Linked DNA regions of Stegostoma tigrinum. The protein of the gene in region 2 interacts with the protein of the main gene of each other region in a biochemical or structural test. Links are inferred from orthologs where the notes say so. Each region holds a gene or a part of one and is shown on either strand. Other genes may lie near its edges.

The links.
Region 1: the proteins of map2k7 (region 2) and growth arrest and DNA damage-inducible protein GADD45 beta-like form a complex in vitro, tested with the Homo sapiens proteins (2 studies listed by BioGRID and IntAct). The link is inferred for Stegostoma tigrinum from reciprocal best matches to the Homo sapiens genes MAP2K7 and GADD45B.

Annotation. Positions count from the first base shown.
Region 1 is NC_081383.1:7,330,849-7,339,327, reverse strand, and holds growth arrest and DNA damage-inducible protein GADD45 beta-like, read right to left. Parts: upstream 3,130-8,479; 5' UTR 2,947-3,129; coding exon 2,903-2,946; intron 2,745-2,902; coding exon 2,643-2,744; intron 2,491-2,642; coding exon 2,277-2,490; intron 1,943-2,276; coding exon 1,829-1,942; 3' UTR 950-1,828; downstream 1-949.
Region 2 is NC_081388.1:1,330,470-1,339,235, forward strand, and holds the start of map2k7 (dual specificity mitogen-activated protein kinase kinase 7), read right to left. Parts: upstream 3,749-8,766; 5' UTR 3,715-3,748; coding exon 3,579-3,714; intron 1-3,578. UniProt on the Homo sapiens protein: Dual specificity protein kinase which acts as an essential component of the MAP kinase signal transduction pathway. Essential component of the stress-activated protein kinase/c-Jun N-terminal kinase (SAP/JNK) signaling pathway.

The DNA.
Region 1 (8,479 bases), on a different chromosome or scaffold from region 2:
AAGTTAACAATTATCATGCAGGAAAACACATCTATATTCACAGGTACTTGGACTGTGACCCAAAGATTTTCAAAACAGTAGAGCAACATACTTAACATTTACTCCTGGCTCTGCATTGCTCATCAGAAAAATTGCTCACCATCAGTTTTATTTTCACAGTCAAAACAACTGTACAGAAGTGATATTTTAGTGACTGCTTTTTTTCTGCTACAATTTGAAAATACCTTGGAGCCAGCTTTGCATCATGAGTACCTCCTTGAGAAGGCTGTTATTTGTTGAGAGTCCCAAACACCATCACCAATTCCACATCCAAATTGTAACATTAATACATTATAGTTTAGCTTCCCATTGGGAGTTGGCTGAACACAGGAATCATTGAAGTCCAATACATCTGCTTTGTCAATTCAAAAGCAAATACATTTACATGAAGGTGTCTTGATGAATTAGCTGTTCCCACCACCTTTAAACTACAGGATTCTTGTCTATATATTGAAACACCAAGAAGCCCACAACTCCAATCAGGAGTGCATTGGGAAAGTTATAACTGGAATTAAAATGGTCTACAAAATGAAGCCATTAATTCACTTTGCAGGAAGGTGTGAAGCTGCAGTTAAGTCATTGATTTAAATTTTGAATCAAACAGAGCAGCTTTGACAAAAATCTGGCCTCCATTGCCAAAACTACAGTTGTAATTTTCTTGACATGGCTAAAAGTGAAAATCTGATTAATTTTGCGTATCCAAAGGTCAAACGGCAGACTGAAACAGTAAAAGCTTGGTGTTTTTTTTTGATGATCAAACTCTAAACCAGGCATGTACAATCCTGAGCTGTTAATTAGCTTTTCAAAGTGTTGTTTGCTGCCAACTATTAAGAAAAAAAATCAAGTATTTCATCCCACTTCTCCAAAGCAGTGGATGTTATGACAAGGAGAAAAAAGTCAGACGAGTATATACTTTTAAATGTTAAAATATTTATTGTAATGTAATAGAAATGAGGTTTTTTTACATAAATCAAGAAAAAAGAGAGGAAATCACAACGTTATAAATAAGACGCTGAAAAATACTACATTTCAGATCAATAGTTTAGAATTAAATTGCACGATGCCCGTTACATAACATTGGGGTTCTATGCAAAACATCCCAGTATTGAAGCTAAGTGCAACAGTCCAATTAACATTTGCTGCAAATCCCCTTGGTGTACAAAGGAAACAGTACAGGTAACTCGTGTGGGGGGGAGCTAGCTCCCTTTAAGAAATGCAAACAGCTCCAAAATGCAGTTCCAGTGCAAGCTCGCACGTTCCGCCTGCAGTAGGACGCGGATAAAAGACTCCATCAGTCATGGAGAGGGGGCGAGGCCGGCCGGCCAACCACTGTTTAAAACAAAACCGTCCATCTATCCTCCACACCAGGATTATAGTCCTGTTGTACTCTAGTCTTCACAGATCCTTTCTTCCACTTTCTGCATCAGTCCAGTCTATTATCAAAAAAAATCTAGATACAAAAGAGCCCTGCTTCGAAAATCTCTCCTTCATTCCATTTCCAAATCGGGTTTCGACACCTCCAGTCCAGCTCCTCCTCTGCAGCTGTCTTCTCGGTTCCGGGAGCGGATTGCAATCCACTCGCCGCTCTAAAAAACAGCCAAGTTTCCGCCGGGTATGCCGTCTTCTTTACCTTTTCTCTCTTTTTAAAAAATAAAACAAAAAAATGCCTTTGCAAACATGATTTTTCCTCATCCACCCGCATCTTTTTGTAGAAGAAAACGGCATACATTTCTCATTTAATTAAAGACGCTTCTTCTCAGCTTCCTTTTCTTCAGCTGGTTTGAAACCTTCAGCGTTCTTGCAGGGACACGGTAGGAACCCACTGGTTCTTGTTTCTACTTTCCTCGCAATAGCTTCCGACTTCCTCCAACGCCTCACATTTCCAAACATCAGTATGAGAGTTCTGGAAATAGAACGAAAAAAAACCCGATTAAACATCGCGTCAGCGACAACAGCACGTCAATTCCAGTCAGTTGTACCCGCCCAAACGCTGTCGTTTCGTTTTACGACAAATTGCAAGATTAACCCCTGAAATGCCAGAATCGACTAAATACCATTGTAACAATTTGAAGAAAGATTAGCAATCTGATCCGGATTGATGCCGTTAGAGATCTCGGATGCACAAGTTATTTACTATTACAATGTTTAAGTCGGAGAGATATTAATAGTGTCTACACCGTAGATTTTTGCAGCGCACTGTAGCTCGGGGATGGAGGGAAGAAACAGGCTATTCTTACCGTAACTAGCATGCAGTGCATGTCCCGGGGTTCAGCAGTCTCGTCCCCAGACTCCAGAAGTTCTTCCAAGCGCTTGACTCCCCGCAACCGCACGATGTTTATGTCGTTCTCGCAGCAGAAAGCCTGGATCAGGGTGAAATGGATCTGCAAGGCGATGTCGCCTTCATCTTCCTCATCGGCCGCCAGCAGACACAGGACTACACTGTCCGGGTCACTGCATATGGGACAGGAGTAGAACGGGCGATTAGAATCACGATGCACAACAAAAATCTGAAAGTCAATGGATGCTAAATCGCAGTTTTTAAGTTGTTGTTCGCAACTAGTTCCAGTTGTTATGAAGGTTAAAAAAAACCGTTCAATACTTACACATTCATTAACTTCGCCGACTCGTAAACCCCAACAGTTAGGTAGCCCTGGCGTTGTGCTGTCACCAACAATTTTTCTAAAGCTTGATCAATTGGCTGCATTCTGGATAGAGATGAAAATATATATACTTACAACATATTCATTTTAAAAAATAGAGTCTGCAAACTACATAACCTACGGATATAGATTATCTATACGCGATCCTTTCCGCTTGATCTCATTAAGACCAACTACAAACGATCGATTTTCTAGCAACTTACTTTTTGCTAGTGTTGTCAGTTCCAGTAATATCTTCCAGAGTCATGTTGTTGTAATTAAATCCAAGGTAAAAAACACAGCCCTCGGGTTCAAGACTCCAGTGATAAGTCTCCTTCGCTGTAACGTTCTACCACTGACTGTAACAATCCTCCAAAGCTCGAGATCCGCATTCAAACGACACTGCACTCTATTCTCTGCTTCGTTCTGCGACTCTTCGGCGGCGTTCACTGCTTTTAAAAGGTTACATGCCGCCCACCGGCTCATCTGCATACGGCTCTCGCGATTGGCTCTTCCGACCGGCGATTAATATTAAACGTCCTCCACAGGGGAGCCCAGATGGCGTATTTTCTGGGAATTTTCTTGTTTCTCTCCCTTCGTATTTTTTTCTCCCTCTCGATGACTCAGTTTCGCGTGCTACAAGGCATTATGAAGCTGCCAGTCGTGTCCGTATTGGAATGAATCTTCTAGAATAAAACCACACAGTTGCAATGTAAAATTAGATAATGATAATGCTGAGCTGTCTGGTAGTTCCCATCCAAGAGCCCTGATACTATTTATTAGTCACACAGCCGCATTCATCGCCAACTTAATGCAATTCAAAACTTTTTTTTGCATTTAATATTTGAGCTAAAACATCTTGTCTGCAAATTGTCATAATTGCCTCAAATTGTTCGAAGTTAATTGCAAGCTCTTGGCGAAAAAGGTTGAGACATTAACAAGCTTCATAAGTTTGCATCAATTTGCATTTTTAAGAATGTCATTTTATTGAGCGAGATCAAAATCTGAAGTTTTGTGCAGCACACTGTCTTGCAGGTTTCGAGTGTGGATTGCAGGTGACACTAAATATTAAATCTTGTGTAACGGCTGTTATAAACTGCCCTGGTTGGTGCACCAGGAAATGTAATATGCTTCGCTGTTCTAAATTTCAAAACATAACTAAATGTACTTTACTTCTTAATAGTACACTCAGTCCGAGATTAAAAGCAAATAGAACCAGTTGGAAATAGAATCTGTTTCTCTTCTCTCTAGTTTCCGACGGGGAATATTTCGCGTACGTAACAAGTTTTCCAGTTGAGTGGAAACTCCGCCTGCCAACCGCCGAGCGCATAAACAAATCATATACTACACAAGCAATAATTTATCTGCAGCAGCTAAATGCACTTTCCAAAAGTGAACAGATATAAAATAAACGGGAAAATTAGGAAATGCTTTGCAAAGTCACTGTGTACAGCCGTAGCCTTCGTTTCTGGGAAGTTTTGCAATGAGCCTGATTGTTTACGGGTATCCTTTGGCACCTAGGGCAGTCTGTGATTAAGGAAAAACATATCTGCCACTAAATTTGTTGGAAAATTAGATGCAATCAACATCTTCGTTGTATTCGTGACTGTATCTATTCTTCGAATCTATTCATTTGCAGAGATCTGGTATGTTCACATGTAACGTTCAGTCGTATGTTAACATGTTGAAACTCATAGGATTGGTGCTTTGTGAAATTACAGACAACCTCAGAAATGGTTGGAATTCCAAACAATGCACCTTCCTTGGCCTCTCCACACCCCGAAAGTCGTTAAGAAAAACGAACACAGCTTGTAAACAAAATCAGAAATAAATATACGTACAATGGGCAACCTTAAAACTAATCAAAGGGCGCCGTCTGGCGAGCTTGTTGCCTGCTACTCCCTCTGACATGAGTTCACTGGTTCCACCTGGCGTTCAACTGAAGGAAAACGAATAACTTGCACCATACAAATTGTAACTTTCCAACATCATGTTATTTAGGGGCAGAGATAATGTGAACTGCAGATGCTGGAGAATCCAAGACAACAGTGTGAAGCTGGATGAACACAGCAGGCCAAGCAGCATCTCAGGAGCACAAAAGCTGACGAGTTCATCCAGCTTCACACATGTTATTTAGGGGCAGCGTTTTGCCAGTTCGAAGACCAATTCACATTATAAGGTTTCAAAATAAATGAATATACTTAAAGTAACGATGACTTGAAATGCAACATTTCAAAAGTTAATGCTTCCTACATTACAACGGTGATTACGCTTCATAAGTACTTCATTGGTTGTAAACTGATTTGAGAGGTCCACAGGTGATGAAAGATACTTTGTCAATGAAGGGAGGACTCTAGTGATGTAGTGGTAGTTCTCCAACTCTGAGCTTCAAAATCTCCCCTTCCCCCACCGCATCCCAAAACCAGCCCTGTTCGTCCCCTCCCCCCACTGCACCACACAACCAGCCCAGCTCTTCCCCTCCACCCACTGCATCCCAAAACCAGTCCAACCTGTCTCTGCCTCCATAACCTGTTCTTCCTCTCACCCATCCCTTCCTCCCACCTCAAGCCGCACCTCCATCTCCTACCTAATAACCTCATCCCACCTCCTTGACTTGTCCGTCTTCCCTGGACTGACCTATCCCCTCCCTATCTCCCCACCTATACTCTCCTCTCCACCTATCTTCTTTTCTCTCCATCTTCGGTCCGCCTCCCCCTCTCTCCCTATTTATTCCAGAACCCTCACCCCATCCCACTCTCTGATGAAGGGTCTAGGCCCGAAACGTCAGCTTTTGTGCTCCTGAGATGCTGCTTGGCCTGCTGTGTTCATCCAGCCTCACATTTTGTTATCTGAGCCAAAAGAGTTCAGATCTGACCTGCTCCAAAAGTGTGTCGATAACATGTCAGAACATGTCTGAACAAGTTGATTAAAAATATCTATCAGGTGAAGTGACGAAGAAGCCAGAAAACTTGAAATAAAGCTGTCGGACGAAAACCTGGTGTCATGTGACTTCTGACCTTCTCCATCCCAGTCCAACACCGGGACCTGCACATCATGTTAACCGATTGGAGTGGGCCCTCTCTTCCACTTTCATCTTTCACCTCTTTATCCAATTTGTTCTGTAATTTATCAGTCCAGGTAGAAGCTTCAAAACGATTCTTTCTTTCATCAGTTATTGCCATATAAACACAAAACACATTGATAATGTACCTCTCCATCATTGGTTCAGAATGTCACACTGCAATGTCGGGTTCCTGAGGGTGTGCCCTCACTGCTCCACCTGGTGGTAATGTTCACGATAACGCAGCCATCGAAGATTCACGTAATTTTACTGTGTTGAAGGAAGCTATTAGGCCCATTATGTCTACTCGGCTATCCAAACAAGTGATTCCCGTAGTGTTATTCTTTGGTCATCTCGCTGTAACCTTGTGTTTCTTCTTTTTCAGATTACAGTCTTATTCATTTTTGAATGCTTCTACCTCATTCTCAGGCAATAAATTCCAGCTTAACTGTTTGAAGAAGACCTTCATGTCACTTTTGATTCTTTGCTAATTATTTTAAATCTTTTATTCTCTTTCATTTCTTCAGTGGGAACAACTTCTCTCTGTTTGCAGTGTCTCAAACCCTCATGATTTTCAATACCTCTATCAAATCTCCTCTCAGTCTTTTAGGAAAACTGAACCAACCTCTCCAATCAGTTTTCACCACTGAATTTATGTATTCTTAGAACCATCCTCCTGAATCTTTTCTACCCACAATCTCCAATGCGGTCATATCCTTCATAAAGTGCACTGCTAAGAACTCAGTGATAATGGGAACTGCAGATGCTGGAGAATCCAAGATAACAAAGTGTGGAGCTGGATGAACACAGCAGGCCAAGTAGCATCTCAGGAGCACAAAAGCTGACGTTTCGGGCCTAGACCCTTCATCAGAGAGGGGGATGGGGTGAGGGTTCTGGAATAAATAGGGAGAGAGGGGGAGGCGGACCAAAGATGGAGAGAAAACAAGATAGGTAGAGAGGAGAGTATAGGTGAGGAGGTAGGGAGGGGATAGGTCAGTCCAGGGAAGATGGACAGGTCAAGGAGGCGGGATGAGGTGGTAGGTAGGAAATGGAGGTTCGGCTTGAGGTGGGAGTAAAGGATGGGTGAGAGGAAGAACAGGTTAGGGAAGTAGAGACAGGTTAGACTGGTTTTGGGATGCGGTGGGGGGAGGGGATGAGCTGGCTTGGTTGTGTGGTGCAGTGGGGGGAGGGGAAGAACTGGGCTGGTTTTGGGATGCAGTGGGGAAAGGGGAGATTTTGAAGCTTGTGAAGTCCACATTGATACCATTGGGGTGCAGGGTTCCCAAGCGGAATATGAGTTGCTGTTCCTGCAACCTTCGCGTGGCATCATTGTGGTACTGCAGGAGGCCCATGATGGACATGTCATCTAAAGAATGGGAGGGGGAGTTGAAATGGTTTGCGACTGGGAGGTGCAGTTGTGTGTTGTGAACCGAGCGGAGGTGTTCTGCAAAGCGGTCCCCAAGCCTCCGCTTGGTTTCCCCAATGTAGAGGAAGCCACACCGGGTGCAATGGATACAATATACCACATTGGCAGATGTGCAGGTGAACATCTGTTTGATATGGAAGGTCACCTTGGGGCCTGGGATAGGGGTGAGGGAGGAGGTGTGGGGGCAAGTGTAGCACTTCCTGCGGTTGCAGGGGAAGGTGCCGGGTGTGGTGGGGTTGGAGGGGAGTGTGGAGCGGACAAGGGAGTAGCGGAGAGAGTGCTCTCTCCGGAAGGCAGACAAGGGTGGGGATGGAAAAATGTCTTGGGTGGTGGGTTCGGATTGTAGATGGCGGAAGTGTCGGAGGATGATACGTTGTATCCGGAGGTTGGTGGGGTGGTATGTGAGAATGAGGGGGATTCTCTGGGAGTGGTAGTGGCGGGGGCGGGGTGTGAGGGATGTGTTGTGGGAAATGCGGGAGACGCGGTCAAGGGCGTTCTCGACCACTGCGGGGGGAAAGTTGTGGATCTTTCTTTTACTTTGCATCTGTTGGCCTTTGCCAACATGGCACTAAAGTAAAAGGTGATGTTGCTATAGTCCTACTCTCACATTAGATAGAGATGACTGGTGAAGATCACCATATTTCAGGAAGGTGAAAGTTGAGAAGACAATCCTTCATTGTAACCACAGCCAGTACAGGAATTGAACTCATGCTGTTGGTATCAAACTGCATCAGAAACAAGCTGTCCAGCCAACTGAGCTAACCAATCCCTTTAATATAGCACTAATAGCAATGTGAAGTCAATGTTTTGAGAATTTTGATACAAATTAATTTTCTTTGAAGGCAGTCAAATCATACAATTCAGATTGTGAATCCAGCACTTGCTTTTGGATGAGACAGTAAACCAATGCACTCTTCATTGAAAGTCGAGTATTCTGTGGCACTATTTTGAAGAAGAGCCAAGGAGTTATCCTAGATAACAAGGTGTGGAGCTGGATGAACACGGCAGGCCAGGCAGCATCAGAGGAGCAGGAAAGCTGACGTTTCGGATCTGGACCTTTCTTCAAATTTCTGAAGAAGAGTCCAGACCCAAAATGTCAGCTTTCCTGCTCCTCTGATGCTGCCTGGCCTGCTGTGTTCTTCCAGCTCCACGCCTTGTTATCTCAGACTCCAGAATCAGCAGTTCTTACTATCTCTCAATGAGTTATCCCGCTGTCACTTGGCAAATATTTGAGGAGCAGGAAGTACTTTGGGAATGAAAATAAATCTTTTGAATTAATTTTAGAAATTAATTATTTTTGTCATCTACTCTCCA
Region 2 (8,766 bases):
AAGAAGTGAAGTCAGTAAAAGACACTGTGAAACTGGCAGATTTCTGTCAAAAACCTAGCTTGTTCACTTATGTCATTTAGGTGAAACATGTGCCACTGTTAAGCATTCAATGCAGCCCCACACCAATGTGGTCTATTCTGGTGTAGCAAGCCATTATTCAACTCAAAGTTGCTCAAACTTCTCAGGAAAACATAATTTGGAGAATAAATTGAACTGCCAGTACTATCTTGAAAATGAATTCTAAAAATTTATTTCTAAACAGCATCATTTAACAAAGAAAAACTTTCACCCCACTGAATAGGTCATTTTTGAAAAAATTCAGCCTGCAATGTGCATGGCTGAAGTTGCCACAGGTTAAAACACTATGCAGTCTATTGCTTGGGACATCTAGGGCACTAATTGTGAACAGAGACTAGTTAAGACCTTTCATCATTTGCCTTAGACCTCAAAGCACCTGTAGTATCATACAGAGTCTTTTCAGTTATTGTATATTATCACTAAGCATCAATGTCCTGATTCATACAATTATCACTTTCAGCAGGACTATCATAGCTGCCACAGCCAACATTCATATATAAGTTTTTAAAGGATTTGAATGCATAATATAACATGGTCTATAATAACAATAACCATTTCACACTACCCTCCCAAGTATCCATCTTTTTCACAACATTGGATTACACAAACATTCAAAGAACCATAAAGTACAAGGATATCACCGAGTCTACTTTATCCATTTGTCTATTTTGAAATGCCACAGTTCCCTTCACTGCTATTCTATGAAGTTCTATTTGATCATCGTGCATAAAGGATCTCTTGGAATCAGTCCAAAAACATACCTTTCACTAGTTTGAACCTGCCTCCACTCTTTCTACTGTAATAATTTGGACTTCCTAAATTTCCATTCCAACAGCTTATTTTCCAAAGAACGTTTTTTTCCCCCTATAACTAGGCCTCCATATAAGGAAGAGATGGGACAGCTCCTAACACCTGGTGATGCTCTTACAATAGGATGGCGGATGTGAAAGTTATTTTGCCCAAAGCAAAGATTTTTTTTCTTGCTTGGCTATGTTGATGCATGCAGTAATGTGTTCCAAATATACTACAGGCACTCAAGTTCAAATGAATTCTTTGTGAATTGGTATAAAGCATTTCTGACAGGGAAAATCTACAGAAATGTAAGTCAGTCAATCTTAAACTTACAACAGTCACTAAGCCATCCAAACAATACTTCGATTCCCCATTCCACCCCTGAAATGACAGATAGATTTATTGGTTACAGTTGGTGAAGAAAAGACAGGTCTTTAAAAAAAATCTGACACAAACAGCAACACAACAATCAAAAAAATTTGGGCTTCTTTTTCCTCAAGCAATTTAAACATTTTAAATTTACACTCACATTATGTAGTAGTTTCAGAAACAGTTACACGTAGGCACCAAAACAAGCAGTCGCCTCCAAAAAACTGTCCACATATCAAATGATTAACCTAACCCAGCCCAACAGCTTCCACAAACTGTTAATCCAACTTTCTACATTAGAAAACTGTGTTTTAGAACTCTTCTACACCAATGGCATTGTTGCATAATCACAGTGAAAATAAGACTGACACCCCTTCTTTGCCATGCAAGTGCCCTGCCTACAACGTGTACTCTCTTCATAACTAACACTGACATTAAACACTACAGAACAAGCAGCCTCGCTAACAAAGTCTGTAAATGTGATCACAGTACTGTTTTGATCTTACAAGATCTGTACTGTGGAGTTAATTACAGTTTTGCAAGACATTATACAGGTTCAACCCAAGTAAAAAGGCTCAGTTAGTGATTTTAATTACTGACTTGCTAAATAAATACACACTAAAAGAAAAAGGCATTACTCAGGTTCTTAATATATTCAGTAACAGTAAACACTTTTTATCACAGTCAAAACTTGGTTAATTGTTTCTGAAACCTGTCTGAAGGAAGTGACCTGTTATATATTATAGGTATAAATGACTATTGGCCAGTTGTTGGGGTCAACCACAGATCATCAATCAAGATGACGTATTACACTGCAAACGAGAAACACTCTACGCTGCTACAGTACCAGTACTAGTAAGCAGCAATTCTAACTGGAGAGAATTTCAATACAAGTTATTGTAGGTTGGATAATGTACGAGTAGAGCTATGACACAGGCAAACCATCATTGTGTCAAACGGCAAGAAGGCCTTAAGTACCAAATGGCCTACTTCTGCTCTTAATTCCTATGCTTGTAGCAATCACTACATCCAAATACACGGAATCTACCTCAGAAAATCTATTTTCTGAAGAAGGGTCTCGATGCAAAACGTCAGCTTTCCTGCCCCTCTGATGCTGCTTGGCCTGCTGTGTTCATCCAGCTCTACACCTTGTTATCTCAGATTCTCCAGCATCTGCAGTTCCTACTTTCTCAGAAAATCTATGTTTTGCATTTGTTGGGGGAAAACATCTGATTCAGCAAAAAAAAGCTTGAAAGTTCACAAGTCAATACATACACGCTATTCCAAGCAATCAGCACATGAAGATACATCTACCTTAGTAGTGAGTTAAGTCACAGTCATTTGAAAACCCATAGGAGCACACTGTGCCGAGTTGAATGAATACAATTTTGCAAATGTTCCTGAGCTAAAACCCTGAGTCTCCCTTCCTTCAAAATAACTCAGTAGCTATCCCGTTCAATAAATTACTTAGCCTATCACGAATTGCCAGTTTTCTGTTAAAATGGCATATTATGTTTCCCATATTAAAGATTCTGCATGAAGAAGAGGTGTTGCTGGATGGGTAGGGGGTTGACAATGAGCTGACTTCTCGAAGCCCAAGCAATTGTGATAGGGTGTCAGACCCGGGAAATGTTGGGGGGAGGGGGCTTAGAACTGCGATCCTAACACCAACACACGCCCTGACAATTCCCACGGCTAGAGCGAGGAAGGGGGAAACCTTAGTCGCTCGAAGCCACTGTTCGCAAATAAACAATAATCAGAGGCCCAGGGAGCAACTTCCGCTCACACTCACGGTCTACCCGGAGGTGCCGCCCCTTCCCCACTGTCGATTGGATAAGCATCCTGATTGATGGGTCACACTGCGAAGCAATTGGCAGAGACAGCTGTCAACCAGACAGCGACGCCCCACTCTACAGAGGAGCTGCCGGCAGATGACGGCCCAGCCCAGGGCTGCAGACAGTTGGAGCGGTGGAAACCTCACTCTGTGGGGAGCTTTCCTCGGTTCCTGGGAGGAGAGGACAGTTGCCTCTCCAATCCAAAGGAAAGGTTCCTGATCTAACGGCCGCAGCTCAGAATCCTCCACCCACTTCAAACTAACCCTGCCCTCCGCCGTGCTGTGATTCGACCGAGCCGCGGAATGACACCAGCTCCAGCAGCCATATCCCGTTCCCATTGACTGAGGCGGCTATCAATCAGCGACCGCCCCGCCCAGTAGGGTGACGCACGCGTGTTTCCGCTGTAAGGCGGCGGGGCCGCGGCCGGATCCGGAGCGTAGGGGGCCCCGGACCCCACACAAACTGTTCCTGGTCACAGGCCACAGTACAGCACTGTTCGCTTACTGGGTCTGGGTCTCCTCGGGCTGGAAGGCGAGCTCATGTCGAGCGACAGGTCGATACGTCGCCGCGCTTCCCGGTTCTCCTGTTTTAGCTTGGCTTCTAGGCGCGACAGCTTCTGCTCCAGGGAGGACGCCGCCATCTTAGCGCGATACAGGGAGCGGCCAGTGCGCAGGCGCCGGCAGCCAGCTCGCACTGCGCCCATCCCCCACTACAAGCCAAATACAAACCACAGCAATTTACCGCCATACACTTTGAAATGCGTTGTCCTGAAGAAGGTTAATACTTGAAAGGTTGACTTTTCCTTTCTTCCAGATACTACCTGGCGTAGTGTTCTTCTTCCAGCCTCCTACTTGTCTGCCTTCGATTCCAGAATCTGCAGGGTTTTTTTGGCTCGAACCAAGTTGTACCACTGTGAAGGCTCTTCAAAGGATGCCCACTTTGAAGTTCTCTGCTTCTCTCAGATGTGAGCTCAGTGAGCCACGCTGCTGTGACCTCTTCAGCTCCTCGACCATACTATGAAACAAAGTCCTGAAGAAGGGTAATACCTGAAACATTGCTTGCTGCTTTCCTCCACATTATGCTAGGCCTGCTGTGTTCTTTCAGCCTCCTGTTTGTCTACGTTTGGATTCTAGAAACTGTGTTTTTTTGCCTAACTTATACACCTTATCCAATATGGTTCAATATGTGCATTGTGCAATATACATTATTTAGATACAATGTGGTCCAACATCCACCGTTATATAGCATTAAGTAATAAAGAATGCTGTCCAATGTACACCACCAAATGTTATTTTCAAATATACAGTACTTCTAAATATATACCACTATACAATTCATTATTCACTATGCAATATATGAAACAGACAATGTTGATCTGGTGTCCTTTTGACAACTTCAGTGGCTGTTTTTGTTGGTGTCTGTGTGGGTTTCTTTCTGGGAGCTTCAGTCAGTCTGTGACTCCATACGGCATTTTTGTTTTGGCATTGTGGTTGGCCCAGCCCAGGATTCCAATGGCAGGTTCGGGTCCTGTAGTCCAGAGCTGTGAAATGGACTAAAGGGACTTTGTATAAAATTCACTTTTCAATGCATTTTTCTTTGCTATATTATTGTGGCAGGTCTGTTATTCTGAACCTTTTATTTCTTTATTTTTCTGTTTACTTGTCAAGGTCTGAAGTGCCAATTTTTTTTTATTTCTTTTCTAATTTTTTTCCTAAGAACTTTGTACCCAAGGATTTGTACCTAGCTACCTTCATACCTAAGAAGGTGCCGTAAGTGGTGACTTGTAAACTTTTCACTGTACTCGTGTGAGTACATATGACAATAAAGCTAATTCAATTCAATATCCATCACTGTACAACATAAACCAGTACCAAATATACATGACTGTCAAATATCTGCCACTATGCAATATGTAACATTATTCAATGCATACTGTTATCCAATATATTATTCAATTTACACCATTCCTCAATGTACAATATTATTCAGTATTGTTTGGTACACACTGTTTATGGCTGTACCACCTTAACTGGCAGAGTTCTAGATTCCTACCATCTACTGGCTAAAAAGGATTTCCCTCCTGTATCCTGTAAACCCTCTGCCCTGCCCTTTACCTTAAATGAAGTGAGGTGAGAGTGACAGCAAGGCTGCATTCAACTGAGTGGGGTATCAAGGAGCCCTAGCAAAACTGGAATCAATGAGTATCAGGGGGCAAACTCCCTTCACCATCAATGCTTAGTAGCGGCAGTGTCTACAAGATGCACTGCAGAAATTTGTAAAGATCCTTAGACAGCACCTTCCAAACCCACGAGCCAAATCCATCTAGAAGGACAAGGGCAGCAGATACATGATACTGGAATGGTAGGTTTAATGTACGATGAACGGCTAAGGATCCTTGGATTGTATTCATTAGAGTTTAGAAGGTTGAGGGGGGATCTAATAGAAACTTACAAGATAATGTATGGCTTAGAAAGGGTGGACGCTGGGAAGTTGTTTCCTTAGGCGGAGAGACTAGGATCCATGGACACAGCCTTAGAATTAGAGGGGGTAAATTTAAAATGGAAATGAGGAGACATTTCTTCAGCCAGAGTGTGGTGGGCTTGTGGAATTCGTTGCCATGGTGTGCAGTGGAGGCCGGGACATTAGATGCCTTCAAGGCAGAGATCGATAAATTCTTGATCTCACAAGGAATCAAGGGCTACAGGGAGAGTGCAGGGAAGTGGAGTTGAAATGCCCATCAGCCATGATTTAAATGGTGGAGTGGACTTGATGGGCCAAATGGCCTTACTTCCACTCCTATGTTTTATGGTCTTATGAGGACACCACCACCTTCGAGTTCCCGTCCAAGCCCCTCACCACAATGACATGGAAATATATCATCCAGCCTTCACTGTTGCTGGGTCAAAATCTGGAAATCCCTCCCTAATGGCATTGTGAGTGAATCCAGCGGACTGCAGCAGTTCAAGAAGGTAGCTCATGACTACTTTCTCAACGGCAACTAGGGACAGGTAATAAATGCTGGCCAGACAGCAATGTCTACATCCCACCAATGAATAACAAAAAAGCATGCCCCAATCATCAATCCCTCCATCAAGAGAAATCTTTCTTCTCTGCCCTATCTATGCCCCTCATAATTTTACACATCTCAATCATATCCCTTCTCAATTTCCACTGCTTTAAAGAAAACAACCCCAGTGTGCCCAATCTCCGTTCATAATTTAAACTCTCCAGCCCAGGCAACATCCTGGTAAATCTCCGGTGCTATCACATCCCTTCTATAATGTGGACTTGAGAACTGAACACTAGCTATGGACTAACCAATGTTTTATGCAGTTCCAGCATAATCTCACTGCTTGTACACTCTTTACCTCAACTAATTTTCAGTCACTTTATCCACGTGTCCCGACATCTTGAGGGAGCAGCGTACATGTACACCAAGAACTGTCTGATCCTCGATCTTACCATTCATTGTGTATTCCCTCGTATTGAAAAACACCAAATAAAATGATCCAAGAAAACTCTGAGATAGTAGGAACTGCTGATGCTGGAGTCAGAGATAACAAGGTGTGGAGCTGGATGAACACAACAGGCCAGGCAGCATCAAAGGATAAAGAAAGCTGACATTTTGGGTCTGGACACTTCTTCAGAAATGGAGGAGGGGAAGGGGGCTCTGAAATAAATAGAGAGAGGGGGAGGTGCTGATAGAAGGTGGATTGTGGAGCAGATAGGTGGCAAGAAGATGGACAGCTCAAGGAAGTGGGGATGAAGCTTGTAAAGGTAAGTGTAGGTAGGAAGTTGGGATGGGGGTTGGTCAATGAGGAGGGAGGGGCAGGTAGGTGGGAGGGAAGACGGGCAGGAATGAGAGGGGGTGCTGGTCTTGAGATGAGGTTGGGAGTGGGGAGATTTTGAAGCTTGTAAAGTCCACATTGAGACCATTGGGGTGGAGGGTTCCAAGGCAGAATATGAGGTGCTGTTCCACCAGTTTTTGGGTGGCATCATTGTGACACTGGAGAAGGCCTAGGATGGACATGTCATCCAGGGAGTGGGAGGGGGAGTTGAAGTTGTTCGTGACTGGGAAGTGTTGTTGTTTGTCGCAAACCAAGTGTAAGTGCTCCATAAAGCAGTCTCTGAGCCTTTGCTTGGTCTCCCTGATGTAGAGGAGACCACATTGGGAACAGCAGATACAACATACTACATTAGCGGATGTGTGGGTGAACATCTGTTTAACGTGGAAGGTTTTCTTGGGGCCTGGGATGGAGGTGAGGGGGTGGTGTAGGGGCAGGTGTAGCACCTCCTGTGCTTGCAGGGAAAGCTACCGGGGGTGATGGGGTTAGTGGGCAGCGTGGAGCAGACAAGGGAGTTGCGGAGAAAGCAGGCCCTCCAGAAGGCAGATAAAGATAGGGAGGGAACTATATCCTTTGTTGTGGTGTCAGATTGCAGGTGGCGCAAGTGGCAGAGAATGATGCGTTGAATCCGGAGGTTAATGGGGTGATACTTGAGGACGAGGGGAATTCTGACTGTTTTTATTGCGGGGAGGGGGTGTGAGGGCTGATATGTGGGAAACGCAAGAGCTGCGGTCGAGGGCATTTTCAACCACTGTGAGCAGGAAATTGCAGCCCTTGAAAAACAAGAACATCTGGGATGTCTGGGACTGGAACACTTCATCTTGGGAGCAGATTAGATTCCCTACCGTGTGGAAACAGGACCTTGGGCCCAACAAGTCCACACCGCCGCTTGGAGCATCCCACCCAGACCCATCCCCCTATAACCAACACACCCGTGAACACTACGGGCAATTTAGCATGGTGTATCCACCTAGCCTGCACATTTTTGGACTGTGGGAGGAAACTGGAGCACCCGGAAGAAACCCATGCAGACACGGGGAGAATGTGCAAACTCCACAGAGATAGTCACCCGAGGCGGGAATCAAACCCAGGTCCCTGGAGCTGTGAGGCTGCAGTGCTAACCACTGAGCCACCGTGCCATCCATAAATGATGTGGCGGAGGTGGAGGAGTTGGGAATAGGGGATCGCATCCTTGGAGAAAGGTGGGTGAGTGGAGGTGTAGTCGAGGTAGCTGTGCGAGTTGGTGGGCTGTTTTCCACTAAAACGCCATCCAGTTAAAGACTAACAAGTAAAACCCTGTCTCCAATACAAGGCAGTTTACAGTAAAACACTATCCAGTAAAACATTGTCCAGTGTAACACTGCACTGCTGCAACCTCCCCCTTTTCATTCCATATGTCCTTATGCCTCTTCTCTAAACCACTCTTCCACTGATCCTGCTCCTGCCCTCCTCTGCCCATTTGCTCCCATCTCCATACATTCTCTGCAGACCCACTCTTCTGCCCCCATGACCTCTTGCACCCAACCCTAATCTCCTCCCACTTATTCTGTTCCAGCTCTCTCACCTTCATTCCCCCCTCTCTTCCCCCTGCCACATCCTCTGACAGTCCCTTTGCCTCTCTCACACTTCCTCAGCCATTCCTGTTCCCCTTTCTCTGCCCTTCCTCTTAGACCTACTGCCCCCTCCACTAGCTCCTGCTGCATCTACCATCCCACCACACCACCAGCTCACCCCTGCTTCCTCCTATTCCCTTGCTAGTCCAGGTCTTGGGAAACCACGACTGGCTCTGCTGTAAAATAGGGTATGGCAAAGTCCAAGCGAACAATTGTGATTGGCAACTCTCTAGT